Caenorhabditis elegans: one gene and its partners. The protein of the gene in region 4 binds, or shares a complex with, the protein of the main gene of each other region. Each region holds a gene or a part of one and is shown on either strand. Other genes may lie near its edges. The genes, in order: mdt-1.2, mdt-4, sop-3 and mdt-15.

What was found.
Region 1: mdt-15 (region 4) and mdt-1.2 share a complex: the UniProt entries of both Caenorhabditis elegans proteins name them as parts of the mediator complex.
Region 2: mdt-15 (region 4) and mdt-4 share a complex: the UniProt entries of both Caenorhabditis elegans proteins name them as parts of the mediator complex.
Region 3: mdt-15 (region 4) and sop-3 share a complex: the UniProt entries of both Caenorhabditis elegans proteins name them as parts of the mediator complex.

What each region holds. Positions count from the first base shown.
Region 1 is NC_003284.9:17,148,865-17,156,428, reverse strand, and holds mdt-1.2 (Mediator of RNA polymerase II transcription subunit 1.2), read right to left. Parts: upstream 4,908-7,564; 5' UTR 4,907-4,907; coding exon 4,736-4,906; intron 4,674-4,735; coding exon 4,540-4,673; intron 3,836-4,539; coding exon 3,608-3,835; intron 3,544-3,607; coding exon 3,439-3,543; intron 3,396-3,438; coding exon 3,207-3,395; intron 3,160-3,206; coding exon 2,850-3,159; intron 2,561-2,849; coding exon 2,383-2,560; intron 2,337-2,382; coding exon 2,225-2,336; intron 2,098-2,224; coding exon 1,956-2,097; 3' UTR 1,782-1,955; downstream 1-1,781. Other genes in the region: npr-21 (G-protein coupled receptors family 1 profile domain-containing protein), read left to right, coding at 1-34, 87-252, 679-775, 836-984, 1,039-1,134; T23C6.4 (Caprin-1_dimer domain-containing protein), read left to right, coding at 6,512-6,620, 7,263-7,421, 7,474-7,564. UniProt on the Caenorhabditis elegans protein: Component of the Mediator complex, a coactivator involved in the regulated transcription of nearly all RNA polymerase II-dependent genes.
Region 2 is NC_003280.10:4,939,190-4,945,813, reverse strand, and holds mdt-4 (Mediator of RNA polymerase II transcription subunit 4), read left to right. Parts: upstream 1-1,864; 5' UTR 1,865-1,871; coding exon 1,872-1,949; intron 1,950-2,059; coding exon 2,060-2,314; intron 2,315-2,363; coding exon 2,364-2,618; intron 2,619-2,941; coding exon 2,942-3,178; intron 3,179-3,294; exon of another isoform or gene 3,295-3,461; coding exon 3,462-3,641; coding exon of another isoform or gene 3,642-3,651; 3' UTR 3,652-3,707; downstream 3,708-6,624. Other genes in the region: SURF6 homolog gldi-11, read left to right, coding at 25-78, 134-245, 290-1,149, 1,192-1,488, 1,539-1,634; ZK546.19 (uncharacterized protein), read right to left, coding at 3,496-3,651, 3,939-4,043; cblc-1 (MMACHC-like protein), read left to right, coding at 4,666-4,758, 4,800-5,027, 5,083-5,268, 6,611-6,624. UniProt on the Caenorhabditis elegans protein: Component of the Mediator complex, a coactivator involved in the regulated transcription of nearly all RNA polymerase II-dependent genes.
Region 3 is NC_003279.8:2,772,179-2,779,564, reverse strand, and holds the start of sop-3 (Mediator of RNA polymerase II transcription subunit 1.1), read left to right. Parts: upstream 1-3,463; 5' UTR 3,464-3,482; coding exon 3,483-3,620; intron 3,621-3,670; coding exon 3,671-3,804; intron 3,805-3,863; coding exon 3,864-3,951; intron 3,952-3,998; coding exon 3,999-4,141; intron 4,142-4,143; exon of another isoform or gene 4,144-4,180; coding exon of another isoform or gene 4,181-4,318; intron 4,319-4,370; coding exon of another isoform or gene 4,371-4,652; exon of another isoform or gene 4,653-4,653; intron 4,654-6,580; coding exon 6,581-6,795; intron 6,796-7,386. Other genes in the region: Y71F9B.13 (NADH dehydrogenase [ubiquinone] 1 beta subcomplex subunit 7), read left to right, coding at 917-1,048, 2,116-2,417, 2,467-2,578, 3,016-3,132; Y71F9B.1 (uncharacterized protein), read right to left, coding at 4,181-4,318, 4,371-4,652. UniProt on the Caenorhabditis elegans protein: Component of the Mediator complex, a coactivator involved in the regulated transcription of nearly all RNA polymerase II-dependent genes.
Region 4 is NC_003281.10:5,827,208-5,835,472, forward strand, and holds mdt-15 (Mediator of RNA polymerase II transcription subunit 15), read right to left. Parts: upstream 6,539-8,265; 5' UTR 6,451-6,538; intron 6,307-6,450; 5' UTR 6,270-6,306; coding exon of another isoform or gene 6,177-6,269; 5' UTR 6,131-6,176; coding exon 6,075-6,130; intron 5,852-6,074; coding exon 5,628-5,851; intron 5,578-5,627; coding exon 5,087-5,577; intron 5,015-5,086; coding exon 3,860-5,014; intron 3,510-3,859; coding exon 3,192-3,509; intron 3,114-3,191; coding exon 3,015-3,113; 3' UTR 2,918-3,014; downstream 1-2,917. Other genes in the region: R12B2.8 (ORF6), read left to right, coding at 673-759, 1,160-1,229; R12B2.13 (uncharacterized protein), read right to left, coding at 6,177-6,269; R12B2.6 (uncharacterized protein), read right to left, coding at 6,815-6,946. UniProt on the Caenorhabditis elegans protein: Component of the Mediator complex, a coactivator involved in regulated gene transcription of nearly all RNA polymerase II-dependent genes.

The DNA of each region.
Region 1 (7,564 bases), on a different chromosome or scaffold from region 4:
TGAAGCTAGTCGCCACTATCAACTTCATCGTCTGGTGCGTTCGTCAACTCTATATATATTTTGTTTTGACTTTTAAAATTTTTCAGGTACGCCGTCCCTCTAGTAATCCTTCTTTGCATCTACGCTACCATCGGCCTCGTGGTGAGCAAGGCCGCAACAATCACGAAACACTCCGCCAACAAGCTTTTGCCAAGATCAAGCTGGCGATCCGAAGCCTCAACCGGCGGTGTGTCAGTGGAGAAGAGGAGAAAGGTTTGTTTAAAGATTCAGAACATGTGTTCACAGTTTGTTTGTGCCAAGTCGAACCACTTTTTCTCAAACGTTTAGTTCTGAGAGATGACACTTAGCCATATGGTAAAACCAAAAGTTATTGAAATTTGTTGAATTATTCAAAAGTTTGGTATAGGGCAGCATTTGATATTTAGCTTGAAACTTGCTTTTTAAAAAAGTACATGTATAAATCAAAAGACTAGGCACATGTGTTTAAAACCAGTTCAAAAATTGGAACATTTATTAACGGGACAGAAAAAAAAAGGGTCATTCACTGTGAGGAAAGCCTCCAGATTTTCAGAAGTAATATCAAACTACAAACTACAAAATCGACAAAATTTATAAACATACATTTTTCAACAAAAAAGTATTTTGTTGATATATTTCTGACATTCAATTTCACTTCAGGTTGGTCGTTTGGCAGTCGGAATCGTCGTGGCATTCGCGTTCTTCTCACTCCCGAGATATGTATATTTTATGTGGACCGTCTGGCGAGATCCGATGGGTAAGCACGTCGTCCACCTGAACCTCCAAGTTCCAAGATCATAAACATCAAACTTTTCAGCGCCAAGATGTTTGAACTGCCTTCAAAGTGTACTCCAACCCATCAGTTTCCTGCTTCTGTTCTTTAATGCCGCCGTCGACCCATTCCTCTACGCATTCCTTTCAACAAGATTTCGTCAAAGCATCAAAGAAACATTTCATCTTGGAAAGGTAAAGAATGTTCTCCAGCCAAGACATTTTCATTCTATTCGATTCAGCTTTCAGGTGCGTGAAAGCAACATCGAGCAGTCATCACGAGTGCGGCGTAAGGTGTTAAACTCGGAGTTGGAGACGGGTTACGAATATCATAATCACTCATAACAAATGTACATACATGCTTTAAAATTCTAATCCCACTTATTCACACATTCTCACACATATTGCGTTCTGTTTTTGTGATCTCACCCATGATTTTCAAAACTTTATAATGCTATCACCGTTTCTTTCCACAACAGTCTCCTGTCAAATTTGTAACATATACGTAATTATGGATATAGTTTCTGTCAATAATGAATTTGTCAAAAAATCAATTTTTTGGGTTTTCATGCTTAAACAGAGTTTGTAAATTATATTAATCCCAAATTACAAAATTATGCAATCGGATTTCTCAAAAATGTTTTAAAACTTTTTAAGAAAGGTCAAAATTTCAATGATCATTAAATGAACATTGATTTCCGGCCATGTGCCACATACAAACATAAATATTGAAGATTTTAGCTGAATTGAACAGTTTTTTTTTGAAATTTTGAACTGCAATGTAAAATATTTTAAAAACTTTGAAAAGTCTCATTATGAAATTTAGTTGTTTGGGTAAACTTTCGAGGTCTTTGGGCAACTAGAGCTACTTTTATATATTTTCAGCAAGCTTACAATTGACATAATTAAAGAAAATATTGCCCAGTTTGACTATTAAAGATATTTTTGACCCTAAGTAATCAACTTTCAGTATTCATGCAAAAAACCTCTAATCATTTTTTTCTGCTTTTCAGCTCTTTGAAAAATTCAGATGGCAAATTTTAAATAATACAAATGCATATAAAACTTAATTTCAAACATTCACAACAATCAAAATGAGTATCAAATAAGGCTCAAGTATATAATAAAACAAAAACTATACAAACACATCATAAGTCAAAAATCCGTTAGAAGGAACGTCCAGCCGCATAAGTTGGAATTGGGCCCACAGTCTCCGGGTTTTCACTTCTCAACGGAACTTTGATCTTTGCCAAGTTGCAGTCACTACCCGACACGGCGTAGGTAAGCATATTTGGAATGCTCCAAGTTCTGAAATTTTCAAATGTTTTCTCTAGGATGTTCTATGGACAAAGAGTTGGCACCAAAACTGCTATTGACATTCTCAGGAACTTTGCAACAAGTCCTGCGTTTGCGTTAGTGTACGGTTTCAACTTACTCATTGAGTTTTCTGCTCAATGTTTCATCAATCTTTTCAGCAATCTGGAGGCCTGTCTGTGCATGCACAACATTCACCTTTGCCTCACAAACTCCACTATCCTGGATTACAACTGCAAATTTACTTAATATTAAACACTTTATCTATCTAGAACTCACCTTTGACCGGCGCAAATTTTGTATCAAAGGTGATTACAATTTGCTCTCTTGTCAGAAAAACGTCCATCTTGATTGCGGCAACCGTGTGCTTTTTCATACCCTGCTTCTCATAACACGCGGATATCATCGACTCCCAAAGGCTGATATGCATGGCTTCGTTGCGAAGAATTGCAATTATCTGCAATTATAATTTATTTTTATCGAGTAGTGGAATATCTGACTACATATGTTAATGATGTCTTAAATAATATTTCTACTTCTAGTATTTGAACGGACTCACAAAGTTCAATAATTCCCTGTGGCAAAAAACCGAAAGTTGCAAAATGTGTGTCCATATTATGTAAAGCATGCATTAGCATGTATGCTTATTTTCTCAAAACAAAAAAGATACTCAAATGTTTATGTTTTTGCTAATTGAATCATGAAACTGGCGCTTTTAAAATACAATCTATGTTACTACTGCTTACCTCATGAAAATCTTGCAAATGCTTCAAATAAATCTCAGTGATCACAGAGTCACCATCATTGCGCAACTGGTTCACATCGACATTGTAGAAGTGTTGAGTTTGTCCATCGCCAAACTGTGTAATCATCTGCAGGTTGTTCTCAATCTTCACCGCTCCAGTCACGTAGCGATAGCTATTTGTGAAATGCTTAACGGATGGAGTCTTTGCACTGATTGCTCCCAACTTCTTTCTAGTCGTTTCAGTAAGATTGAACCCTCTGGATAGCTTCATACAAATCACAGCGTTTGCTTCAATAGATTCTGCCCAGCCTCTGGAAATTTACAATTTTCAATAATATTAAGATGTGAATGAACTCACTTTGTGTCAAACTCTGGAAGTGTACACGGGCTATCATGCTTGGCAAACGAAAATTCAAAGTATGGCAAAACTTCGTGATCATCCTTTTGTAACTGGAAAATATGATCCTTGGAGCGAATGTTCCGAAAGTGTGGTTCCGCCAAATAATATACACGCCCTGCGCGGAGATCATTACGTGGAAGGTAGAAACTAAAATTAAAATTTTTCATTAAAAAAATAATTATAAAGTTACCCATAGTTGGATCTGTGAATTGAAGTGTAGGAAGGGTCTTGAGAGAAGTGTCCAAAAAGCATCTCGAGCATTCTCATAGCTCCCATGCAGTTTCTACGATCGTCTCTGAAAAATGGGAGTGAGTTCTAGAAGCATTATTTTTTGCTTTGCTCAAAGTCAAACAACATACCTGCTCAACAACTTATCATACGTCAACAGCATATCTGAGATTCGGTTTCGAAGCTCTGTCCACATCCCTAACTGGAGCATTCTTGTAGCTTCTGGGGAGTAGAATGAAGGCTCTTCCCAAAAACTAAGCACAACGGTTGTCACTTCACCATCGTTGACAGTAAAGTCCATGATGAGATCTTCTTGACGATTGATGGACCATCCGCGAGAAGTTTGTTTGTGCAAGCATCTGGAAATAAAAGTGAGCTATGTATTTTAATAAATTTTGAGCGATTAGAAGTTATGGCTAGGCAAATTTCAAGTGGATAACGTTGGAATATGTATAAGTTTTGTCGGACTCCAACGTACCAGGTTTCTAATTTTTTTAAAAGGAAACTAGTCTATCGAGAAACAAATGTTGTGCAGTACTTTCATTTATTTGTGAAATGTAATAATGTGTAAAGATTTCAGAGAAATTGAGTAGGTGCTCACTTTCTTAATTTTGTATATTTAGTACGCGATTATTTTCTAGCAATTGGCAGTCGGTAAACTCTTCTAGTTTTTGACAGGTTTGCGTCTCAATCTTGGATACAAGTACAATATTTTTATTACAAACTAGGGTCCGATGTGGAACTGATTTTGGTTCTTCAAGAAAACATGAAACTTGACAGTGTTTCAGAAAATTTGAAGTATATGTGGGTCTACTCCTTTTTGATTTTTTTCTTTCTTGAAGCAACAGGTGCTACGAAAAATAGATTTCCAAGTTATTAATGCTCAATCGGCAAATGAATTCTACCTTAAGAGCACTCAAAAATTATACATTTTGATGCATGTGAAAAATAGGTGCAAGGAAATGCTCTATCATTTTTAGCAGTTAAATTCTAGGTTCCAAAAAAGCCAGGTTTTTATGGCAGTTTTCTAAATTTAACGCCATTTCTCTAACTGAAAACTTACCCAAGACTCTCAGCCATAACCCGTATCTTCTCCTCCATCAGATTGTTTTCCTCGATTGGCATTTTTGTTTTCATGTACGCAATCCCGTTGAGCACGTCAATTCTACCATCAGCATCGATTGTGTTACGTTTTTCCTGCAATTCATGCATTTTTCAAATTGTCTTTCACAATAAATAAGTTTAAAGAAAATAGTTACCAACAAGTTTCGCCTCACAGCCTGCCCGAATGATGTCCATTCCATTTTTGATGCGGCTTGCCGGACCTGTTCCAATCTCATTTCCTCGTCAATATGCTCAATGTTGAGCTCTTGATTCTTCCGCTGCTCCAACAGGTAAACTTTCGTTTTCGGTGATGGAGTGGAAACCATTCTAAAATCGAAATTTAATCGAGTTGAATACAAATTTACAAATAAGAGAGGAAAGTTAACAATAAAAAATAAATATAAACAAAAAGAAATAAAAAATAAGATGTCGTCTTCAAAGGGAAGTCCGCAAAATGCCGTGATGGTGTTTGCACACTGTCTGCACACTCCTTGGATACCTTATCTCTAGCTAATGCGTGTTTGAGAGAGCGGGAGAGGAACATGGGCAATGGAGGGGAGAAGGACACAGCCAAGACATTAGAAAAGTGGTGTCATAGAACATGGAAACGATGATGAACAATTACAATTGCTAATGGAAAAAAATAAGTATGGGAATTTCGAGAAGAAGAAGAACTTGTCAAAAAAAATTTTTTTTTGCTTTTCCATGCCAGTGTTTTTCTATATTTTCAGTTCAATCCTAGGGCGAATGACAATATTTTTTAGGACCTAATGTGAATCTGGACAAGTATTTGCGGTATAGTTTTTGTTTTTATTGGGGCTTGAAAATCGTTACTAAATTGTGAAAACATCTTGATGGAAACACTCCCAATGATAGCCCATTTTGAATATGACTAAGATATTTTGCCGAGAATACTTTTGAAAATAATTTTTTCATTACAAAAAAAGTAGTTTAAAAGTGTGTTGAAAACGGTTTTGCATTTTAAAAATCACTAAATGATACTGCCACTTAAAAAAATGATTTTACACACATTTATCTTCTTTTTGTATAATACATACATATTCTTAAACAAAATTTGATAAGTTTACAAACGGTCGTACTTTTGTCATTCTACACCCTTAAATTTTTAAAATTTTTCTTCAAATAAAAAATTTATACCGTGAGATTATGCATTATTTTTACTAGGTATTTTTCAATCATCAAAGACTCCTGGCAGTTTTTTAAACTTAATTTCAAGTTGCTTAATATCAAATTTTCCCCGTTTTTTTAAGTTTCATCTAATTTATAAACAAGCTTTATATATTTTCACAACATGCCATGTTTCGGTGGGATTCCCAATGCAATCTCACAACGTTATGAACATTTTTGCTGAAAATTTCAAAAATTTCGAGAATTTTTCCACAAATCGTTCACAATTCAACAAAAAATCTGCTGATCTAAAATTTTCCCAAAACGAATATAGCATGTATCACAAATCTTTCAATGTTCTTTCATCTCTTTGTTGAACCATCTGACGAACAGGTGCTCGAACACTGTTGCGCTTTTTTCGCCTCAACAGATGTTGGACCTTCGAGGAATTGCACAACGGTGCTCTGTGTTCTCCCTCAATTTTCTGGTGGTGTAGCCGTTGTGTGCATTGACTGCGCAGCCAGACCCACCAGTTTCCTCGTCGTCGTCGTCTCTGTTTCAAGTCCAATTTATAGGGCGGGCAGGCGGCTGTGCTGCTGGTTTCGTTGTCTCGCCGTCTTCCATTCTTCGTCTCGACTGGTTGGTATTAGGTCGAATGTTTTTTTTTTTGGATTTTACAAGTTCTCTCTCATCCAATTCTTTCTTCACTCTCATATTTCAATTGGCCACTTCATTTTCGATGTTTGCACACTTGAGCGAACTTGTTTTCGAATTTATAATCTGTAAATTTTAAAGCTAACAAAATGTCGCTGAGCAGTCAACAGCCTGCAGAAAACCAACCATTCGACTTCAAATCATCACAACTTTACTGGAACTCCACAGCTGCACTCATGGAGTCTCAATTCAAAAACAGTGAGTTGATTGGATACACTGAGCTTATGAGCTCGTTTGAGCCAGAATTTCTCATTGAGGATTCCATGAATTCTCTAGAGGTTGTCCACACTGTTGCACTTTTAAATATAGAATGCCTTATTTTTGTGTCGAGCCAAACTTTAACAGTTTAGCGTAGAGCTTGAGTTCTCACATAGTTTGACCATAAACTGGATCAGGTTGTCATGGAGATTCAGAGGTACGAGGGGCTTATTTACTTGGTTGTGTAAGGTGTGAAAACAATTATTATGGGACTAAGAGAATGAGGGGGATAGACTACCTATTTTGAGTTCCTGCTGAGAAACAATATACATGCATATGATAGCGTGAATAATATAAAAAAAGACTGTAGAACAAAACTTAATTGTCAAACAATCACCACTGCTATGAATTTTTTTTCCATTTTTTTTAAAGCGAGAACCTGAACTCACTATCAAGGTCTGCTAGATCTGATCATTTTTGTTCAAAGTCTGAACTTAGTTTGTCCAAAGTTGATCAATTACTCGTAAAGGTTCAATCTGAATAGTGTGCGGTGTGAATTATGTTTACAGAAATTCAAATTCAGATTTTTTTTTTTTGGAAATTGATCATATGTAAAACTTTTGGTGAACTTCATTTTTTTAGTGAAAAACGAGGATTTTGTGTACCCAGCAAAGAAAAAAGTAGGAATGGACGATGGAGCTATTATTCGTGGCGAGGAACATCTCCGAAGACAACAGGAAAGTGCAAAATACAACAATCTACTCACTCGAGACCCGTACCTGGACTATATTTTATCTACAAGTAAGATTTTTTTTCCGAAAAACTTTCTAAATGAAATTTCATTATTTTTCAGTGACCGATGAAGATTTCACCTACGAAACCAAGAAACCCGTGGATCCAAACTATGGTCGTGTTGTACGAGCGTTTGAATTGATGGAGATCGC
Region 2 (6,624 bases), on a different chromosome or scaffold from region 4:
AAATACTAATTTTAAGCATTTTAGATGGCAGAAACATTAGAAGCTGTAGAAGATGCAGTGGACATTCTTGAAAAAGAGGTAGCGTACACACATCCTCGAAAAGTGGCCGAGAAACAAAACATTTTAATTTCAGATGCTCTCCTTCTGCAACCTGATTCCAGTTAACTCTTGGGGATTTGATGATGATGTCAAAGAATCATTGAAGATGCGAAAACACAGTTTGGTTAATCGACAACTCAGCAAAAGTAATTTATTGATAAATTTCTTTAAAATTCTGTATGTTTTTCAGAGGAAAGAAAGTCAATGTCTGCACAACAGAAACAACATCTGGCGAAAGGCTTAGGATTGGTTCCAAACACTGTTCAAGAAGTCCTCGAGTGGATGTCTAAAAGCAAGCAGCATTCGAAAGTGCAACCACAAAAGGTTGTTGCACCGGTGAAGAGACCAGCGGATCAGAACAAGAATAAAGAAAAAGTAGTGAAGAAAGACCAGAAAAAGCAAGATAAGAAAGCTGATTCTGATTCAGAAGAGGATGATTCATCTGACGACGAGGAGAAAGAAGAAACAGACGAGCCAGTTGCTAAGAAGCAAAAGAAAGAAGAATCTTCAGATGATGATGAAGACAGTGAAGATGGAGAAGAGCCTGAAGGAAATAATGGAGCTGTAGAGGCTGAGGACAGCGATTCAACGGACGAAGAAGAAGAAACACCATCTAAACCCAACAAAACCGTAGCACAATCTACTCTGAAATCGAATGGAAAAATTGACAAGGAGATTCAAAAGTTGGAAGACGATGAAGACAATGAATCCCCCGAAATCAGACGTCAAATCGCTTTGCTGAGACTGCAGAAAAAGCTGAAGGAAATGAAAGTTGAGCGGAAAGGAAAAGGACCGGCGAAGGTAACATCAGCGATGGCTGAAAAAATGGCAGAGGAGAAGCGTTTGAAAAGACGGGAGAGCAAGCTGAAGCTGAAACAAAGAAGAGCAGAGGAGAAGAAAGGAAAAGAGGCAGCAGCTCAAGTGAAGAAAGAGACTGTTGAAAGCACAGAAAATGGCAATGAGCCTGTCGAGAAGCAGAAATCTGGAATTTCATTCAATAATCTCAAGTTTGAAATCAAAGAAGACAAGCAGAGGGGCAAGAAACAAAGAGTGAGTAAAAATATTTTTATCTGAAATATCTGAAATTTTCAGACCGCCAAAAAAGATCGAGCTCTTAAACTTACCGGACGTGACTATAAATCACTTATCGCTAAAGTCGAAGAGACAAAAGCAACAATTGCCAAAGTTCGCGAAGCTGATCCACATAAGGCTACCATCATGGAAGATGAGCTAAAGTGGGAGAAAACACTGAAAAGAGCAGCTGGTGGAAAAGTGAAAGATAATTTGGGAATGCTCAAGAAGGCTTTGGTGAAGAAGAATAAGATGAAGGATAGAAGAAAGCAGAAATGGGAGAACCGAGAGAATAAGACGGAGGGAGAGAAGCAAACGGTATGTTGATTGGTAGAAAATCCTTTAAGATTTGAATTTTTATTTTTCAGAAGCAAGACAAGAGAAAGAAGAATCTCCAGAAGCGCATCGATGACGTCAAGAAGAGAAAGATGAACAAGTTGAGAAACAAGGGAAGAATCCTCTAAACAACACACATTTATCCGCTTTTAATTTCTCGTTGTTGAACATTTTTTTGTTAATTTTTACTGTTAACTTTTTTCTTTAAATCTGTGGCCTGTTGTTAAGTTTTTAAGTTTTCAAATTATACTAAATTCTTTGAAAAATATTCTCTTTTTTTTTGAAACTTGTGCCGTTGTTTCGGTAATTAATTATTTTAAAAGTTGTTAATGTATGTTCGATGGTTGTATTGTTCTAGATCTCAAATGGCAGAAACAGATGAACGAAGTCTACGGGATTTGCTCCTGGAATCTGCAGATGATTTGGAGCATATTGTTAAAATGGTACGTTCTAAAAAAATTTGAAACAATATTATAGTTTATTTTAAAATTACTTTTTACTGTGAGTTCATCTTATAGAATTCATGAACCCACATAATCAATTATTGTTTCAGATCGTCGATACACTCATCAATCGGGACAAAAGTGTTATGCTGAAAAATGGAGAAACCGTTACGAACATTATCAAGCTGTTTGACTCAAAACAGGATAGCATAAAGACTTTGCTGAAGAGGGTTCCTGAGTTTCAAGAACGAGAGCAGCTCATTCGGACGCTTGAAGCCCACGTGGAGAAACGAGACGAAGTTATTCAACAACTTGAAACGAATTTGAAGTCATGTGAGGTGGCTCTGACGCGATCTTGTTTTCATGTAAATTTTGTTGGAAACAAAGACTTTTTTCGAAATACGTTTATTTCAGGCAAACCAGAAGCTCAAGCAAATGAAAGAAGCTGAATTGAGACCAGTCAATAGTGAGATGCTCATCAAACTGGCTCATCAGATCAGTAAGCACAACTCCGTATCTGCACCACTCACTTGGCAAATGGGAGATCCATCGCGTCCGTTTCCTCAGGAACACGAATTTCGAGCTGGTCACCTATTGAATTCAAAAGTTCAGAGCACTGGACCTCAGCTTTTACCCGGAAAGAACGTCGCTCAGAGGCCGCTTATTACGGTATGTTTATGGAAACTTGTTGAAATGTGAATCCTCACCTGAAATATTTGATAAATGCATTTATAAATGCATTTATATAAATGCAATACTTCTAATGTTTTCTACGTTAATCTGAAATTCTTTTCACACTGTAACCGAACAGCTGTGAATCACGTGATTTATGTCTTATCTTCTTACATTATCTAACAGTCATTCCTTCTAATGATCAAATTATGAGTGATAAGAAATATTCAGTTCATATTGTGATCTCTTTCCTTCTACGTTATTCGTAGTAAATTTTATAAATAAAATTAAGATTCAACGTTCAATCAATATTATTTCAGTCTCCATCCGCATCCTCATCCAACGGTGGAACAGCTCCAATTCGAACTGTCGGCACTCCTCTTATTAATTCTGCTCCGACTGGAGATTTCAGTCCACGAACTGGTTTTGGCACCGACGAGCCTCCACCGATTCAACAGCAAGTACTCCGTGGAGCCACTCCAAATGAAAAGCAATGGCAGAATCCGGGAGTTTCAGGAGCCACCTCAACGCAATCCCCTTACAACCGTGTCTCGCAGGTCAGTGCAAACCGAGTGTACATAGACAGTGTTACTGGCGGCCCGCAAATGATGCACGGGTGGCGCAGTGGTAACGCGTTTGCCCGTTGTTCAGCTGTCCACCAGTTCGATTCTCAATGCACACAGAAAGTCGAGATTGCCGGCTTCAAAGGCTTTATCGTTGATTACGTGTGCTATAACAACGCCATAGGTATCATTCTTCGTCTTCTTAGGCGCGGAACATCTAAATATGGCTACATTTATCTGCTATTTTATAATTTTCCAATAAATAACATATTTTCAGAGTCCTTCTTCCTCGCCAAACGTGAAGCTGAAAATTACTGGACTTCCGAATCGTCCAGGAGGTATCGATCAAGTTCAAGATGTGCGGGATGTCGAACAAATGTCGTCGGACAGCTCCAACTCGTCAGATAGTTCAGATGATGAAGGCGCATCGAAAAAGACTGGCAGTAGCAATAAATAATGAAAGATCTCTGTAAATTCTGGTATTTTACTTATTGTACGTTGATAAATAAACACAATTTTCTATATATCTTGTGTTTAACAGTGACACTAACTGATTGCATGTGGTTCAGTGTCCACGCCATGTTTACCGCTATGCCAGCTGCCTTTCTTTCTTTCTTTATGTCCTCTAATCTATTTACTCCTTGAACTTTTTTTTCAACAATTCTAGTAACTAATTATATTTAGAAATATGCCAAATTTTGGAATATACCTAAGTTAGCTTTTGATTCAAATCTTATTTTAAAAAAACACTCACCCCATCTAGAGACGCAGAAACGAAAGGGACCACCCATGACAAGAGAGATGCGGAGTACGTGAAAAGATGCACAAAACATGTTGCAGTGAAAGTGTTGTTAGCCATCACTTTTTTTTGTTTTTGTGGGCTCAAATCAGTTTGAAGAAAAGTTGAAGTTGTAAAATTTCGCCTCCTTTCGTTTTTTATGTCATTTTATATTACTTGCCCTTTGGTAATAGATAAGAAATTATCTCTCCCATCAGACACATTCCCACACATCTTCTTTTGACTTGCCTCCACACAACTAATCTAGATATAGATGGGCGGTCCTGATTCTTGAATACAATACATGTGGAATGTTTTGTTTCGGAAGGATTCTTCAAGATTTCATTTGAATTTTCTTAATTGAATTAATACTTTCTATCTTATTATACTCTTAAATTTGCGATTTTTCGGCAAAAAATACTGCATCTGGTCTCGACAAAGCTTTCTTTAATTTGTTGTTAAATACAAACGGATGTGCACCTTTAAAGAGTACTGTACTTTCAAACTTTTGTTGCTATATAATTTTCATCGATTTTCCGATAGTTTTCGATAGAATAAAGCATAAATTTCACCAAAATCAACACGACAGTTTGAACACACCTTTCTTATTTAGAAAAAATGAAACAATTGTCGTGGCGAGATCAGGCATCGTACTTTTGACGCAAAACATTGCGTCTAGATAATAATTTCCATGTTTTCAGATATGGTAACTGAAATGAGCCATGCAGAATCCATCAAACGAGTTGTCGACCAAAAACTCTCCTCACACGAAGGATTTGAATCCCATATGTTCAAGGTAATTCCAAAATCATTTAAATCATCAAGTTCGTCCTTCAGATTGGATCTTACAATGAAGCAGTAGGTGAGAGTAGCCCATTTGCTCTTCCGTACGATGACTCAACAATGGCTCTTCTAATTCTCAGCACTCCTGACATGTTTGACGTTGCATTCCGTAAATGGGTTGTACAGAAAACAATGGATTTCGGATCGTTCGATGAAGTTTGTGAGATGGTCTCATCTCCAATTCAGAGCTTTTTGGAGGATCGTCTTGAAATTATGAGCGAGGTTTGTTGGGAAAATTGAGAAATTAAAAAAGAAAATGAATTCTTTTTCTTTTCAGAAACTGCGAAAAGTCGAGGAAAACTTTGAAATTTTGCACGATTACTCGATGACTCCACAACGAAGACCGAAAATTCTGATGCAAACATGCGGGCATGTTGCTGGAGCAGCTTTCTACTATCAGCCTTGTCATTTTCAAGAAGACGGAGTTACATGGCCTCCTGCAGGCCGTATGGGTCCAAATTTGGTTTGTTTTTTTTTCAAATTGAAATGGAAAAGAGAGAAAACGAACGAGGAGCTTTGAAAAATATTTATTTAGCAGCAAAAAACAGTATCCTCGTTGTATGTAAAAATAATGAAAGGATCCATTTTCCCTGCAAATTTGAAAGAATCTCGATTGGATAACTTTTCGAAGAGAATATCCTGAAATTATGGCCCAGCCAAAAAACAAAAAAAGACGAGCTATCAATGAAAGTTTATTGGTTTTGGAAAAAGTTCAAGATGTATTTCCTATGGGTTGTACTCGATTGGGAGGTTCTTACGACGAACCATACCGTCTCCTTGAAACCATTCCCGACGGAATTGCTTAGCAGCACCATCCGGAGTGTTGGTCCACTCAACAGTGATACGATCGTTGTTAGTGTCCTCCTGTCCGAAAGCGAAGGCATCGCAGGAAACAGCAAGAAGAACAGCTTCCTTTGGGTCCAAAACTCCACATGGTGGATCAACTCCAAGTCTCTTTATATTGGTGGTCTTGATACCGTATCCAATACGGCGAGCCGAGGAGTTGATCACCTTGATGTGGTAGGTGTGCTTGTCGTCGTACGGTGCATTGAACACGATCTTCGTACCCGGCTGGGTCTGGATATCTCCTGGTGGGACGGATTGGGCACTGGCGACTTCTTTGTAGAGTGTGGAAACTTACAGTGAAGATTATGGTAAACTCTGCTCAATTTATAGCAAATTTCTCTCTTATCTTTGTCCCAGATCTTCACATTAATATCCTCACGTAAAGGTCATAATGGATATTTTGTCACATCTCTAATATTAGTTCAAAAAGTTAATAAATAAATACAATTATTTTTGAAATCCGTAAAACTTCTCACAAATTGAATGCTTTTTATGATTTCAAAAATCTTATACAATTTAAGAAATTTTCCTCCAGGATTGCCTAACTTGACCGAACTAATTAATCTAGTCAGACCCAACTTCCCACAATTTATCAAATTTTCCGAGCTGTCTAGAAAATCTATAGAAAATTGAAAATTTCCTCCACTTCGAAATTTTTAATCATAAATAATAGCTTTCTATATGCAATTTTAAAATTTTAAAATTATATAAGTAATTTTCTACATCTAACAAACATATTTGCGAAAATTTGGCACCTGTAGCGGCCACTTGAACTGAGTTCGTGGCGAGACCCACTCGAAAATACATGATGTGCCTTTAAACTGACCTGGCAATTTTTTGCGAATCTACAATAACAAAAACTGGCAACATTAAGAATATTCCATCTATTCTAAAAACAAAATAATATTAAAAACCCTTTTTTATTAAATAAATTTAATAAATCTATAAACATTTTACAGAAATTCATCGGCCT
Region 3 (7,386 bases), on a different chromosome or scaffold from region 4:
CAAATCATGGAAAACATTTTGCCAGTTGATTTTTTTCTGTGAAAATTAAGAATAACCGAGATATAAGCTGTCGAACCGGTAGATGCACCATGTTCCTCGTTTTTCCCCATTCTACTTTGGCCGCTTATATCTTGGTTCATTAATAAGATATCTATAAATTTTAAACTGTAAAACTGTAAAATAAAACATGAGAAACATTTTGTCAGTTGATACTTTTTTGTGAAAATCAAAAATGACCGAGATATAAGCTGTCGAACCGGTCGATGCACCATGTTCCTCGTTCTACTTTAGCAGCTTATATTTTGGTTCTAAAACATTTTTTTAGTTAAAAACTTTAGGTTAAGATCAAAAGTAGCCAAGAAATAAGCCGCTGAAGTTTCGAGCAAGGCAATTTTTATAAGAAATTGCAGTAAATACCTTTTGGCTGGTTTTTGAAAAAAAAAAGTCGAAACACCATGTCTCTAATTTGAATTTACCGACTCTTGGCTACTATCTTGGATAATTTTTGTAATCATATCAATAAATTTTGAATTTCAACTTGTAGAAAAAATATATGACAATTAATTTTTAAATGTATTTATTATACGTATTTTTTATAAAGCCACAGTCAACATTTTTTGTCAATTTCCGTCAATTTGTAGTCTCGTAGTGTGTTCAAACCGTCTTCTCATCAAAAATTTGTGATTCTTAATCAATCGTTTCCCGTCTGATTACACCTTCTTCTCATCCTTTTTTCTATCATTCTTCTGTTTTTCTTTACCCATTACCTTATGATCTCCATTATTGTTCAATGGTCACTTTTTCGATTCAATCGCTTCCAAATCAAAATCTACTTTCAAAATTCCAGATGTTCAATCATCTCATATTAATTTTCTCATGCCACGTGGCACTGCTAACAGCAGCTCCATCCGCCAGAATGTGCGCCTCGTTCGCGAAATTCGCCGAACGATGGAATCCGCTTCCGGAGACACTGCTCTCGTGGTCCAAGAACAATTGTGACAAGGTTCAGCCAAGACCAAGGGATATGTCATGTGAAGATGTTGTACAGGTAGGTGGAGATTCGGAAAGGTCACGCCCATTTTTCTGTGCCCTGTAGGGCTGTACAACCGGACGTCCGGTCGTCCGAACCGGACGCACATGCGTCCGGTTGGGGGTAGCTATCCACGACGGCCGACAATTTCCGAGTTTCGCCACTCACTATAAAATTGCTGATTAAGTATAGTGAGTGGCGAAACTCGGAAATTGTCGGCCGCCGTGGAAACCTACCCCAAAACCGGACGCAGTGCGTCCGGTGGTGTCAAAATCGGACGACCGGACGCCGATTTGTACAGCCCTAGTGTCCTGAAGGCGAGCGGTCTGCTCCACGTTGTGCTCCGAATCGGGGAATCTTGATCGGGAGAATCTAAATCTGCCCATAGAACCTTGAACGTTGCGGAAAATTCAATTTTTGCCACGAGTCACACAAATATGGGAAATCTGAATTTTTGAGCTCAGATGGGCACAGTTTTGTGGGCGTGGTATTTACAGGGAACTCAGATATATGGGGAGCCAAGATCGTGTAAATTTACAAGGTGGATCTCCGTAAATCTACACAATTTTGGCTCTTCCCGCGCCACGCCCCTTGGGTCCCGATATGTATGCGTCTCTTCAACAGACAACTCTCTGCGGCTTTGTAATATTAGTTAGTCGCAATAACTTGCAATTTTTGTACCGAAAATACGGTACCCGGTCTCGACACAATCTACTTTTGTTGCTAAATTTCCAGCGATTTTTTTTTCGATAAAAATATATTATGAAAACTCTTAAACTTTGAAAAATCGTGAGAAAATCTATGGGAAATCGGTGAAACTACAGTAATCTTTAAAGGCGCACAGTTCATTTCCATTTAACCAATAATTCACGTGGTGTCAGGCTGTCCCATGACGGTTTGATCTACAAAAAATGCTGGAATTTTTCTCTCAGCACACTCTTAACTATGCGAAATTAGTTTAAAAGTCTGCGTCTCTTCTCCCGCATTTGGGGCACTTTGACACCACGTGATAATTGTCGTGTCAAGACTAAGTTATAATTCGCTGCGAGACTCGAAAAATGATGTGCAACCTTCCCAACTTTCAGTTCGTCGCGGACTGCAATTTCAGCGGCGGAGGCCCCGGGCCGGGAAAACTGGCGGACACCACCAACCGCCAGGTCGCCGACACATTCTACCAGAGGACCTACGAAAACTCGCCGAGAGTCCTGCCAAAGTATATCTACTATAATGAGAATACCGCCAGAGACTACGGGCAGTTCGGTAACTGGTACTACCCGAATTACTATCCACCAACTTATCTCGGATTCTTCGACGGACGGCCGGCAAGTATGGCACAGCTTGAGAATGATTATAAATTTGCAAAAGGTGGACATTATCCATATAACAGGTAAATTTAAATTTTTTTAAAATTAATAATAAAACTTGTTTTTTTTCAGAGCCGATAATATTGTGAACATTGGGCTTCAACAGACATATCTTCCAACTTGCCTTCACGACTTGTTCTACTGTGTTCGCGCCAGCAATGGGCAGAGACCCCAGGCGTATTTGGTAGGTGGCCTAGGACTCAAAAAAAACTAGGCCATCGATTTTTCGAATTTTTAAAGAAAAAAACCATGTATTTTTAGTTGAAAATCTCCTTTTTTTAATCTTTTCCACGGATTTCTGGCTTCCCTCATAAATTGAAATGGAAGAGTTTGCCGAACTAGGTCATTTAGGCTCGGCCATATCTGGCATAGATTTACGGAGCGTTGCGTGTCGCGTCGCGGCTCGATTTTAGTTGTAAAACTAAATGTATTTGCCCGTGTGGAGTACTTTCCCACGTGTTTTCCGGCAGGCGATTGTCAATGGAGCGCGAAAAATTCAATGAGGAAGGCCAGAACCCCGTGCGCACGTTTAATTTTGCAACGCTCGCGCCAAGACCTTTCCTCTCAATTGAGCTCAAACAACGTTTTTTTTTAAAAATCACATTTCCTTCTCTTTTTCAGAACTACAAAGAATACCGCCGTGACCGTGACCAGGCTGCTGAACAAATGGCCCAACGGGATCAAGATATCAAGACTCTCCGCCGCCACCGCACCAGACACCACGAGGATGATGAATAAATTGATTTTGTTTGTAGATTATTAATGAAACATGATGTATTTTTGTTAATAAAATATAACTTGAAAATCGATTTTTTCTGCAGAAAACCGGTTTTAAACCCTGAGACGAATTATCTAAATTCAAACACCCGCCAATTGATGCCAGTGGCTGTGGCCTAAAATCCGCCTGCTAAACAACACGCGCCGCGTTATAACGGAGTGTCGTTCGCAGCAAAACAAAATATTTTTTGCACCGATTTTCTATTTTAAACTGCATTTTTAATGGGTTTCTCGTTAAAATTTCTCAATTTTTATATTATTAAACAGCAAATAATTAAATATTTATCGATTTTCAGGTAGCGAAACCTACCATGATAATTGAAGAGAGGAAAAATCATGAGTTAAACCTGGAGTCGATCGATCGAGATTTGCGAATGGAAAATGTCCGCCAAAGCGCAGAAAAGCTGGGATGGGAGCATTTTGCGAGATCTGTCAGGAGGAATTTGCTGGTAACTGCAATCTCCACCGTTTTTCATTGAAAAAAAAATCAAATTTTCAGGAGAAAAGGCAAACACTCGATGCACGAACCCGTCTCGACGTTCTTGGCTCTCTGGTTTTTATGAAAGAGCATTTACCAATTGATAATGATGCTACTATTGCTCGAAAAGTTCAACAATTATCTGAAGGCCTAGGGTGAGTGCTTTTTTAAATTTTTTTTAAATTAAAAATTTTATAAATAATTTTTTTTTCAGAGAACATTGCGTGTTTTCAACTCAAAATAGTGGATTTTCAATCAGAAATCCTGATGTAACAATCGACATTGGTGTTGCAGAGGATCAAGTGCGTTGAATACGGGATTTTACCAAAACAATAAAGCTATCTTTCAGATTAGTACCTGCAAAATCGGTTATTTCGGTCAACCGCTCACTGATGCTCCAGGAGCTCTAGCTCTAATGAAAAATGGAGAATTCTCGAAGCTTCGCGATTCGATAACCGCGATTTTGTCCTCACTTCCGAAGGAAATTACATTGTAAAGCTAATAATATTTATTTTTCAGAGGAAAAGAAAACTAAAAATATGAAATAAAAGCGTAAAAACTAATGAGAGCGACAGCGAGAATAATCGAAGATCTGACATAATGCACCGGCTGGGAGATCTTATCCTGTGTGAGACGGATGAAGCTGATCAGCAGGGCTCCAAGGGCTACCTGGAACGATTTTTATTGAATCATTTAAGAATAAAAATCAATAATATATTACCGGCGGAAGGTTCTTGGCTTCTTCTTCCAAATCGATCGTCGGTATAGATTCCACAGAGGAGAACGTCCACAGCAGAAAACTCGTGTAGAGACCGCCGGCGACGATGGAGAGGGATGAGAGAGTGCGCCACGTGGCGTTCCGTGGAATTTGAATGATGGAGAGGATCGCCGGGACCAAGTAGACCGGCGTATAGGCCCACCAGGTCGGATTTCTCGAGATTTCGAGAAGGCCGTAAGCCAGAAGGCCCAAACCGAGAATTGATTCAGTGGCGCGGAGGAACATTCTAGAAAAAAACCATTTTTTGTGAAATTTTGATTTAAAGGTGGTGTAGTTGAGTTTTTTATTTCTTTATTAGACTCAAAATTGTCTGAAAACACCGAATTTGATAATGAAACTTCTTGAAAACTTTTCCAAAAAAAATTATGACGCTCAAAAAATGACCTAAAATTAGTGAAAATTTGAAGTTGACCAACTTATCATTGTCGCAGCGGCTGGAAACAATTTTTTTTTGAAATTGTCGTCTATTTTTGAGTAAACAAGTAGATTATCTTGCGTTTTAAGCTTTATTATGGTATTTAAAGTCGATGGACGAAGAGAATTGATTAAAAAAATTTGAAAAATCTCTTCGTCCATCGACTTTTAAATACCTTAATAAAACTGAAAACGCAAGATAATCTACTTGTTTACTCAAAAATAGACGACAGTTTCAAAAAAAAATTTGTTTCCAGCTGCTGCGACAAAGATATTTAAGTTGGTCAAATTTCAAATTTTCACTAATTTTAGGCCATTTTCGAGAGGCCATAACTTTTTTTTGAGAAGTTTTCAAGAAATTTCATTATGAAATTCGGTGTTTTCAGACAATTTTGAGTCTAATAAAGAAATTTTAAAAAATTCGACTACTCTACCTTTAAGTTATAGAAAATAGTTAAAAATATCTATTTTTCTATTCGATGTTCCTTTATATACAGCTATAAAAATTTTATATGAAACTTATTTAAAAATATAATATACAGGAAAATTTCCCTACAAAAACGAGAAAATAAAAAAATCAATGAAATTCAAACTATTTTAAAGCCAAAATTTCGATAAAAACGAGATTTTCTGTATTTTGAAGGTGGTTTTCAGAAAAAGAAAACGAATTTATGGATGAAAGTATGACCACTTCTGAATGTTTTTTTTTTTGTTGCAATAACTAGTTGTGAGAGACGCAGACGGACGAAGATATGTATGTTGTAGTTTTTGATAAGAGAGATGAAGGTCAAACAAGGGGAATATGATGATAATTACGATAAAACTGTTTTATTAGACTCAAAATGCGCGGGAACTTTGAAATTTCAGGGAAAAATTGCTGATTTTTGCTAGAATCTAGAATTTCACTGCAACTTTTTCCTCACGAGAGACGAGGAAAATTGGTTTCTAGGCCATGGCCGAGGGGCCGACAAGTTTCAGCGGCAATTTATCTTGCTTTGTTTTCCGCTTGTTTTCTTTTGTTTTTCACAGCCTTTTCCCGTTTTTTCTTATTAAAACTGATAAATAAATATTTTTTGCAGATGCCAAAACGATTTCCAAGTAAAAAAAAGTGTATTCAGTGGGCAAGCAGCGGTGAAAGTGGTCAATGGTCAAATATGATGGATTACGGGAATACAAAACCTAGACTTTTTCTGAAACATGATACATATGCTGCTTAAATGCTGAGACTACCTGATTTTCATAACGAGACCGCTGAAAAAGTTTTGAGGTTTCCAAAATTCAACTTTTTTGGTGAAAAAGTCGAGATTTTCGCACAAAAAGTTGAATTTTGAAAACCTCAAAACTTTTTCAGCGGTCTCGTTATGAAAATCAGGTAGTCTCAGCATTTAAGCAGCATATGTATCATGTTTCAGAAAAAGTTTAGGTTTTGTATTCCCGTAATCCATCATATTACAATGCCCACTTTCACAGCTGCTTGCCCACTGAATACATAATTTTTTCAGTTGGAAATTGTTTTAGCATCTGCAAAAAGTATTTATTTATCAGTTTTAATAAGAAAAAACGGGAAAAAGCTGTGAAAAACAAAAGAAAACAAGCGAAAAACAAAGCAAGATAAATGGCCGCTGAAACTTGTCGGCCCCTCGACCATGGCCTAGAAACCACTTTTCCTCGTCCCTCGTGAGGAAAAAGTTGCAGTGAGGAAACTTACTTTTTTCAATTTCAATAATTTCAATTTCCAGAAGCGAGAAAAACGCGTGCAAAGAAGCTTTTCGAGCCCTCGACCAGTTGCTCATTCGAGATGCAGCCGACTCTTCGTTTACTGCAATTAACACCGGGAAATATGGATTTTATGCTCCGCGTAATGAGCTACGTTCTGGACGGATTTATTATGTTGCGGAGCCAGTTTTGATTCGGCTCGCCGAGAAGGAGGGAAAAACCAAGGCCGATGCTTCTTGTGAGCTTTTTTTTGGATTAAAAAAAGGATTAAAGGACGATCCGTTCTTCAAGTGCTATGCACTGCGGATCTGGGATTCAGGTACACTGCCTGGTGGTGATCCCTCTGGGCTGTAATTTAAGCCACGTCCTAGCCGGGGACTGTGGCCGATAATCCAGTCGTGGATTGCTCCACTTCCCAATAGAGGCTGGGTGAACCTAGGGGGTGAGGCCGGACTTGAACTCGTGACCTCCAGACTGCTAGCGGCCACCACTACCGACTGAGCTATCTGCCCCCCCCCCCCCTAAATACGGTTGCAGGTCTCGACACGAAATATTTTTTTTTTGAATACGAAAATGTGTGCGCCTTTAAATTTAAAGTACTGTAACTTCAAAATTTGGTTGTTTTAATAGTTTTTCGTTGAAAATATAATTTTTCATTAAAAAATTAAATTAAAACTGGCAAAACCACATAAATTTTAACAGAAAATCTATAAAACTTTCAAAAAGTACTCTAATCCGAGAGAATAAAACTATTAAAACCTCATTAAATTTTGAAATTATTGTATTTTTAAAGGCGCACAATCATTTTTATTTAACAAAAAAATTGTCG
Region 4 (8,265 bases):
GTCTACTCCGGAAGGCGCAAAAAATGGAGGGTAATTTGGGAAAAAACGGGTGGGAAGGAAGAGAAAGAGAGATCCTTTCCCCTTGAGGATCAACTGAAATGGATAAGAAAATAGAAGAAGAAGAAGAAGAGGAATTTCTTTCTTTTTTTCTTTTTTTTTGGGTGATGATGAGAAAGAAGAAAAATGGGGGCAAAAGATGTGAAGATGAATAATGTTCCTGGAGGTCGGGAATTTCCCTAAAAAATCATGATGGACTATTTGAACCTCTGAGGGAATTATAAGTCCTCCTGGAGCGAGGGGAGATTTGAAAGCTTTTATTACCCAGATTCATCGCAATTCATGAGAAATACGGTTCCCGGTCTCGGCACGAAATTTCTAAATATTTAAAAGGATTTAAAAAGAGTGTGCGCCTTCAAGGAGTACTGTAGTGTACTGTAGATAGCGAAAAGTGGGAACTACAGTGTCCAGTATTCCATAGATTAATTTTGGTTGTCTCGAGACCGTTTATTGTATTCTTGCGTAACAATTTGCACTTTGAAAAAATTTCTAGTAACTAAAAAGAGTAACTCCTATCGTATTTCTGTAGTCTTTAAGGATATAGGAACTGTGAGAATGGCTTTATAACTATTATTATTCACGGACAATTTTTATTCTAAATTTTCAATTTTTCAGATGCGCCGATCCTGAACTGGACACGTTCTTCTCATTTGGAACATGTTGTGATAACGAATGTTGCTATCGGTTACGATATTGGGTCTAGTGAGTTTTTAACTAATTCTAAAGTTCGATAAGAGGTACTTAATACGAAATTGTGTTACTTGGCATATTCTCAGTTTAATTTGAATTTAACTGCTCAAGAAAACTACAAAACGCAAGAACCATACATCATAACTAATAATGCATTTATCTCTGTCTTTGAAAAATAAATTAATGGGATGACGGAGAATCAGAGTTTATTTGGGCCCATAATGCTTCAGCGAGCATACTGGGCACATCGCGATCGAGGTTTCTGATGGATTCGTCCCAGATTAACAGTAAATCTACCGTAATCAATTTTTAAAGCTGCAGAGCTCTATTCGGAAACTCGAACAAAACAAAATTTAAAGATGCTCTAGATGCATACTTTTGGTCCCAAATATAAATTATAAAACTATTTCAGCCCAGCCAGCATCGCAGGAATCGGATTCGTAGCAGGTGCATTTTTTGCTCTCTGCTTCCAGTGTCGCTGAACTGCTTCTTCTTTCTCTTCTTCTCCTTATATCAACAGGTACTTCATTGCCATCCCCCTCTTTTTCATTCTCTTCTCTGATATTTCATATCATCGGATTGTAAATCTTTGGTTTTCATTGCATTTAATCGATTTATGTATTTTCATTTTTTTTTTATGAAAAAAGAATGTGGAACAAAAATAATATAAAAAGACGAAATAAAATATTTTGAGATTAATTAGCGAGAGAAAATTGGGACGGCTGTAAAAACGGAGAACTTATTACAATCTATTGCCTTTTCGTTTGGATGTATAAGGTGCAAGAGAAATGTACACAGGACTTGGAGAAGAGGTGCAATATGTGAGAGAAGAAAATGGGTGAAAAATGAATGAAAACAAAATAATAACAAGGATAAAAAAACGGTTTTTGTGGGAAGGGAAGACAATTGAAAGAGAACATACTTTTCAGACAAAAGATCGGATCACAGATTCAAAACGAGGAGGAAAGAATCTAAAATGATGTGATGTACAAACAAATGCACACACGCTAAAATCTACAGTTTCAATGATAAACTAATCTCATATACAAGGCAGCAAAATGAGAAGAACAAATATTTTAAAAATATTCAAAAAAAAAGAAAACAATCCCTGATTTTAGTAAATGAACGCGTTTCGAATTCTATCATTTCTATAATAATCACTAAACTTTTCTTGCTGGGGGAGGGAAAAACTGGGCAAAATATAAAAATTCTTGAGGTATTTTTGAACAGTGTGAGAAAGGAAAAAATAATGAAATATAGACCAGGGAGACACACGTGTAGAAAGGGAAGGGAAGGGAGTATCAGAAGCTCACGATGCTCATCGAAAGAGAGCCTAAAAAGACACGTAGTTGAGCTCCAGAACTTTTTTCTATTATCACATTTTTCAAAGAGGACGAAGAAGAAATTGGGGACTAATTATTCACGCACTACACAGTTTTTCAGATGAGGGGAGAGGAGAGAGAGGAAAATGGAAATTTTGAACCGTATTTCAAATGAGGATTGGACAGGTTTGAGTCTGATTACGACTAGGAATCGATTCGGAGGCAGGAGTCTCGTGGAAAATGGAATTCGGAAACGTGAAACAAGGAAAAAATCAGGAAAAAAAACTGATATGGATAGAAGGGCAAGCTGATGATAGGAGGAGGAGGCAAAACAATCATTTATAGAGGACAACAACAACTGAATCCATTCCACGAAGACTCGATTTTCTTTTTTGTACAGGTTTTGTGCAACTGAGCAATTCAATTCAGACGAGGCGGAGTTTAGAACGGATTTGACCTGAAAATTAGAAAACATTGATTGAGAAGAAAACAGTTTGTTTAAAAAAAACTGTCTTCTAATTTTTTTAAAGGTTTGCGTTTTTAAAGAGTACTGTAATTTTAAAATCATGTTTCAAATCATATTAATTGTGTTTTCATTGTCAAATTCGGGTATTTTTTTTAGATTGACAGGTATATATTTTTTTAATCAAAAAACGATGAAAAAATAGAGTACTCTTTAAAGACGCACATATTTTCGCATTTGACCAACATTTTTCGTGTCGAGACCGGTTACCGTAATTTTGGTGAAAAATCGTAAACTTTCGCGTTTGAGTAATACTTTTTGTAAAGTTATTACAAAAATTAAAACTTTCCGGAATTTTTTCACTTCCAACTTTATTTTATAATGTTTTTCATATTTTTTATTATTTTACAAAAATAAACATTGAATAACAAAACTTTTAGTGAGCAGGCACAAAAAAAGAAACTTAATGCACTCTACCTAACTTACAAGTTAAGATTATCGTAGAAGAAATCGTTGCCCACGTTGAAAGCGACGTCTAGACCACCGCTTGTCTGGTTTTGGTATTGATTCACTTGTTCTTCCTGTAGAAAATTATAAATTTAAAATTCAATTTGAAGTGCAATTTTCATAAATTTCCCTTTCTCAGCGAAAGAACTTACCCAAGCATTCAAATAGTCAGTAATTGACGAAAGACCGGGTCGTGATAATCTCTCATATACTGAATTTTGTAGATCATCATACAAATATGCATCCAAATCAATGACTGCTCGATCTACAGTCACATTTCCAGCTGGATAAGTGGTTGGAACAACGAGTCGAAGTGGTGGGAACTGTTGATTACGGATTTTACAGACGACAATGATATGATTGGCATCATGACGTTGATGGTTTGGATCAATCTCGAATCGAGCATCAAGGATTTGAAGTTCCTTTCTTGCTGTTTCATTGAGATTTGATCGTTGAACTGGTGGACCAGCCTGAATATTTATTGATTGAGATTATTGATTGGCTGTTGATTTTTTTTTTGTAAAAATAGATTTTTTGGTAATCTTGTTGGTTTTTTCGGACCAAAAAAAGAAAAAAAAACTGAATTGCGAAAATGTTGATTTTTAGTCGGGAGAAGAAAAAATACGAAAATGTTTTGTTTTTGGTCTAAAATGTTTTTGGTGTCCCTGTTTGAGATCAGAGGTTTTTCGTTTTTCGATTTTTTTTTTCGTGTTTTCGGCGACACAATTATTTTTCACTTTTTTCAAAAATCATTTGAGGATACTTTGTGTGTTTTTTTTTTTTGAAAGCTGAGAAACTCAATTTTTAATATAAAACTTACATTCATCGAATTCTGCCCGACGTGCAATGTTGGCTGAAGTGCATCAATCGGCGTTGGGTTTGGAAGGAAATCATCATAGTTCAGATCATCAAGTCCTGACATTCCACCCATTGATCCAGGTGTTCCCATTTTTTGATTCGGTGTACCCATTGGATTCATTGAAGGGGCTCCAGAACTTGGACCTGACATACTTGATCCACTCATCGAATTACGATCTCTTCCAATTGGTCCAGGACCATTTGGCATTCTCATATTGTTTCTCATCGCTGCAGGATTCGGGTATGGAGCATGACGATGATTGTTGACTGGTGATGTCATCGGATCGTGTCCCATATCTCCACGATACATTCCATGAACTGGACCACCTCCACCCTGCATCATCATATGATCCTGTGGCATCATTCGTTGCTGCTGTTGGTGTTGCTGTTGATGCCACATTGGTGGTTGATGCATTTGCATATGTGGTGGTGGAGGTCCCATATACTGCTGATGTCCATAACCTGGATGTCCTCCGTAGGGATTTGGCACCTGACCATTACCCAACATAGCATGTTCACCGTTCATCATCGGATCGTTCATTCCCATATGATTCTGATTCTGTGACATTGGAGCAATATTCAAGAAGTCTTGCTTTCTGGCAATCCACATCTCCAAATGGTTCAAGTATTCAAGGCTAACCACACGTTTTCCTTCGAGCACACTGAGCATAACCTCAAGCTTGTGAGCAGCTTCATGGTTACCCTCATGTCTGCATTGCCTTGCTCGTGTTCTCAAACTGTCGCAGCTTCCACGCATATTTCTCAATTTCGCAGAATACACGGTTTGATCCTCGGAACTCATCATTCCCTGGTTTGGAACCATTCCGGGTCGTTGCTGTTGCTGCTGTTGTTGTTGTTGTTGCTGTTGTTGGGCAGCTGCACGTTGAGCAGCAACATTTCGATCTCCAGGTGGGCCCATCTGATTGTGATGTCCTGGATATTGTTGAGGCTGATTGATAAGTGATTCAAGAACTGATGAAGGACCGGTTGGAGTGGCTCCTTGACCGTTCATTGGTCTTCCAGGATATCCATGTGGTTGTTGTGGTGGCATTGCACCCCATTGTGGTTGTTGTTGATACATATGTGCTGAAGGATCCCAAGGACGAGCTTGATCCATCTGAAAAAAAAATTAATCAAAAATTGAAAAATTAGCAGATTAAAAAAAAATACATTTGAAAAATAAACTCACATCCTTTTTAATCTGCTGATTGTACGGATTTCCACCCATTGGAGCACCACTACCAGGTGGTCCATTCATCATACCGTAACCACCGTATCCATTCGGTGGTCCACCCATATTTGGAGCACCCATTTGCGGTGGTGGCTGACCCATTGCTGGTCCACCATTCATCTGGCTGCTTCCATTTGGGAATGGAACATTTGGTGCCGGCGTCGGACCTCCACCGGGTGCCTGTGATCCTGGAGTGATCTGTCCACCTGGACGAATACTTGTATCTGGTGATGGAAATGAAGCAACCGCGGCGGCAACAGCAGCAGTGGCAGAAGCTGATGGAGCAGGCAATCCTCCTGGCGGATTTGGTGCTGATGGAGTTGTTGATGCCTGTGTTGTTGCTACGGTAACAGGTGGATTTCTTGCCTGAGCTGATGTTGGTTGTGGATCTGGAGGCACAGGAGCTCGATATCCGGGTGTTCCGCCAGCCGGAGTGTTTCCTAATAGAGCTAATTGAAATTTTAGATTTTCGTTGCCACAAAAAACTACAAAAAGTTACCTGCTGTCGTACACGGCGGACTATGAAACTGTGATGGTTGTAACACGGAAGGCACTGCCGCTGATTTACTATTACAATTGATAGCATTAATCACTTTTGCGATCGTCCTCATATATTCGTCCTTCGACATACACTTTGCGAACACATATTCTTCGACCTGCCTCGCGTCACCGGGTACTGGTAAATTTGGGGCATTCTGCCGGTTTCTCGCCAACTCAGGCTCACTGAAAATTGGAAAATTTTTATATTTCGGGATTTTTTTTTCATTTTTAAAAAGAGTACAGCCTGGATACATTTGTGACATCAGCTCCTATGGTTTATAATTTACAAATACTTGGGAATTTATCAAAATTTTGAATGGAAATTTTTGGAAATTTTCAACAAAAAAAAAATTTTTTAAAATGTTTTCTCGGTTATCAAAAAAATATTCCTTTAAAAAAAGCTTACAGTCTCTGAATAACATGCTCTCGAAATTTCGGCGAAGGCCAATCCTCTTCGCTCATCTTTCTACTCTGCTCTTGTTTTTGAAATGTTGCTTTTGCAAGCGATTCAACAACCGTCGACGTCAACGTGGCGGCGGCTTTCTGAGCGTCTTGATTCACACACAATTATCGACAAGAAGGAAAATGAAGAACAAATCAAAACGACGAACGCGGCAAACGAAAAATAACGACGATTCCTGCAAAAGAAATAGAATAATGGATGGTTGAAAGTGGGGAAAAATTGTCACTTTTTGTATTATGGTGCATCGATCTATTGTGATTCAACTTTCAATTCACAAAAGATCAGGATGGAAATATCAAAAAGTTCCCCATTTTCTCACCTCTTGTTCTCGTCAATAGTCGACGAGCCGGCAAAATTTTCGGATCGCCGACGGCAAAATCACTTTTTGATTCGTTCCCCGGTTTGACCTGAAATTAGGAATTGAAAAAAATATTTAGCGATGTTGAACGAAGAAGAGATTAATAATAAAGGAATACGGATAAGGAGACGGATAAGGAGAAAAAAATAAACGGAGTTGAGAGAGATAAGATATCCCAAACGCTTGAAATTAAGAAAGAAAAACAAATAAAAATAGGCAATTATGAGATAGAGATATTCTGTAGGAGAAATGGACCAGAGAGATAAGATATTCAGAACGCTGAAAAACGTTAAATTTTTTAATGGAAGATATGTGGTGGTTAGTATTATTTGGAAGATTTGGTAAGTTTTAAAAAAACTGAAAAATGTTTGAAATTTTCAAACAAAAAGTTCACTTTCACATCAAGATGTGAATTGTCTAGGTTTGCTCCGTGCAGCATCATGTTCCGCGAGTCCATTCGGGCATAACGACGCAGGCAATTCAACGAGAACCTGGAAAATTTAAAAATTAAATGTTTTGTGTATAAAATTTTGTAAAGCAAGGGGACATACATTTCGCGTCAACGTAATTCTTCTAGTTTTTGACAAAAAAACGGCACCCGGTCTCGACACGACACTCTCTTGATGAATGTGAAAGGTGTGCGCCTTTAAAGAGTACTGTAACTCCAAACTTTAATCTCAGTCGAATTTTTAAAGATTTTTCATTGTTTTTCGATAAAAAAATATATTTATGAATTTATGGGAAAACTCAATGAAATGAAAATTTGAAATTACCGCAGTAATGAAAATTTGAAGTTACCGAACTCTTTAAAGACGCAGACCTTTCGCAGTTAACAACAATTTCTGTCGTGTCGAGACCGGGTACCGTATTTTCGGCGCAAAAATTGTAGAATTAATCACAACATTTTTTTGTTTTAAATTGCTCTAGAACGCTGAAATATGTTCTTATCTTATGGAACGTTTTACCGGTCTTATCATTCCCGAATAATTTTCATTTTCTTACAAAAAAAACGAATTCCGTTTTCCGCCTAACAAAAAATCCATTTTCGTCGCAGAGAGAAAACCAGCTCAAGTGCAAGAAATTAGGCAACCTTCCAGCACCACAACACATGTGTGAAGTGCCGGAGAGCGCGCGCGAAAAAAGACGAAAGGGAATTCGGTTAGCGCGCACTGGAAAGTAAACCAATTACACGTGTGTTGGAAGGTGTCCGTCCACAATTTTTACCTGCTTCAAGTCGAAATAGACGGCAGTATCGTCAGGTGTGAGGAATGTGATTGCTTTTCCATGTTTGCCAGCTCGACCTGAAATTTTGGAAAGAATTATCAGATGTTATCGAGAATTAAACTAGAAGTGTGGAAGATTTCAAATATTTAGCTTCAAAATTTAAGAAAAATGTGCACTTTTTTCAATTTTTAAAAGAAAAACTTCTGATTTCAAATTATGAGAGCACCAGTCAAGCTGGGAGCCTAAGATATCGTATTAGAACTTATGGGTCAAAATAAAAACACAAAAATACGACACTGCCAAGTGCAATAACAATGTGAAAAATCAACGCAAGAAGAAAAAGAAAACGAAAAGGGGGAGCAAATCATTTATCACCAAACGAGCGTGTCGACGAAGCAGCACCACCACGCGGTCGGTGAGCCAGATAGAGAGAGAGATAGAGAGAGAGGGAAAGAGCCCGAGCAACTGGCGACATTTTCTAACAGAGAGAGAGTTCGGTGCTGATTGCCTGAGCAAAGACGAAGGGCAGGTGCTGACAGGGAAATTCAGAAT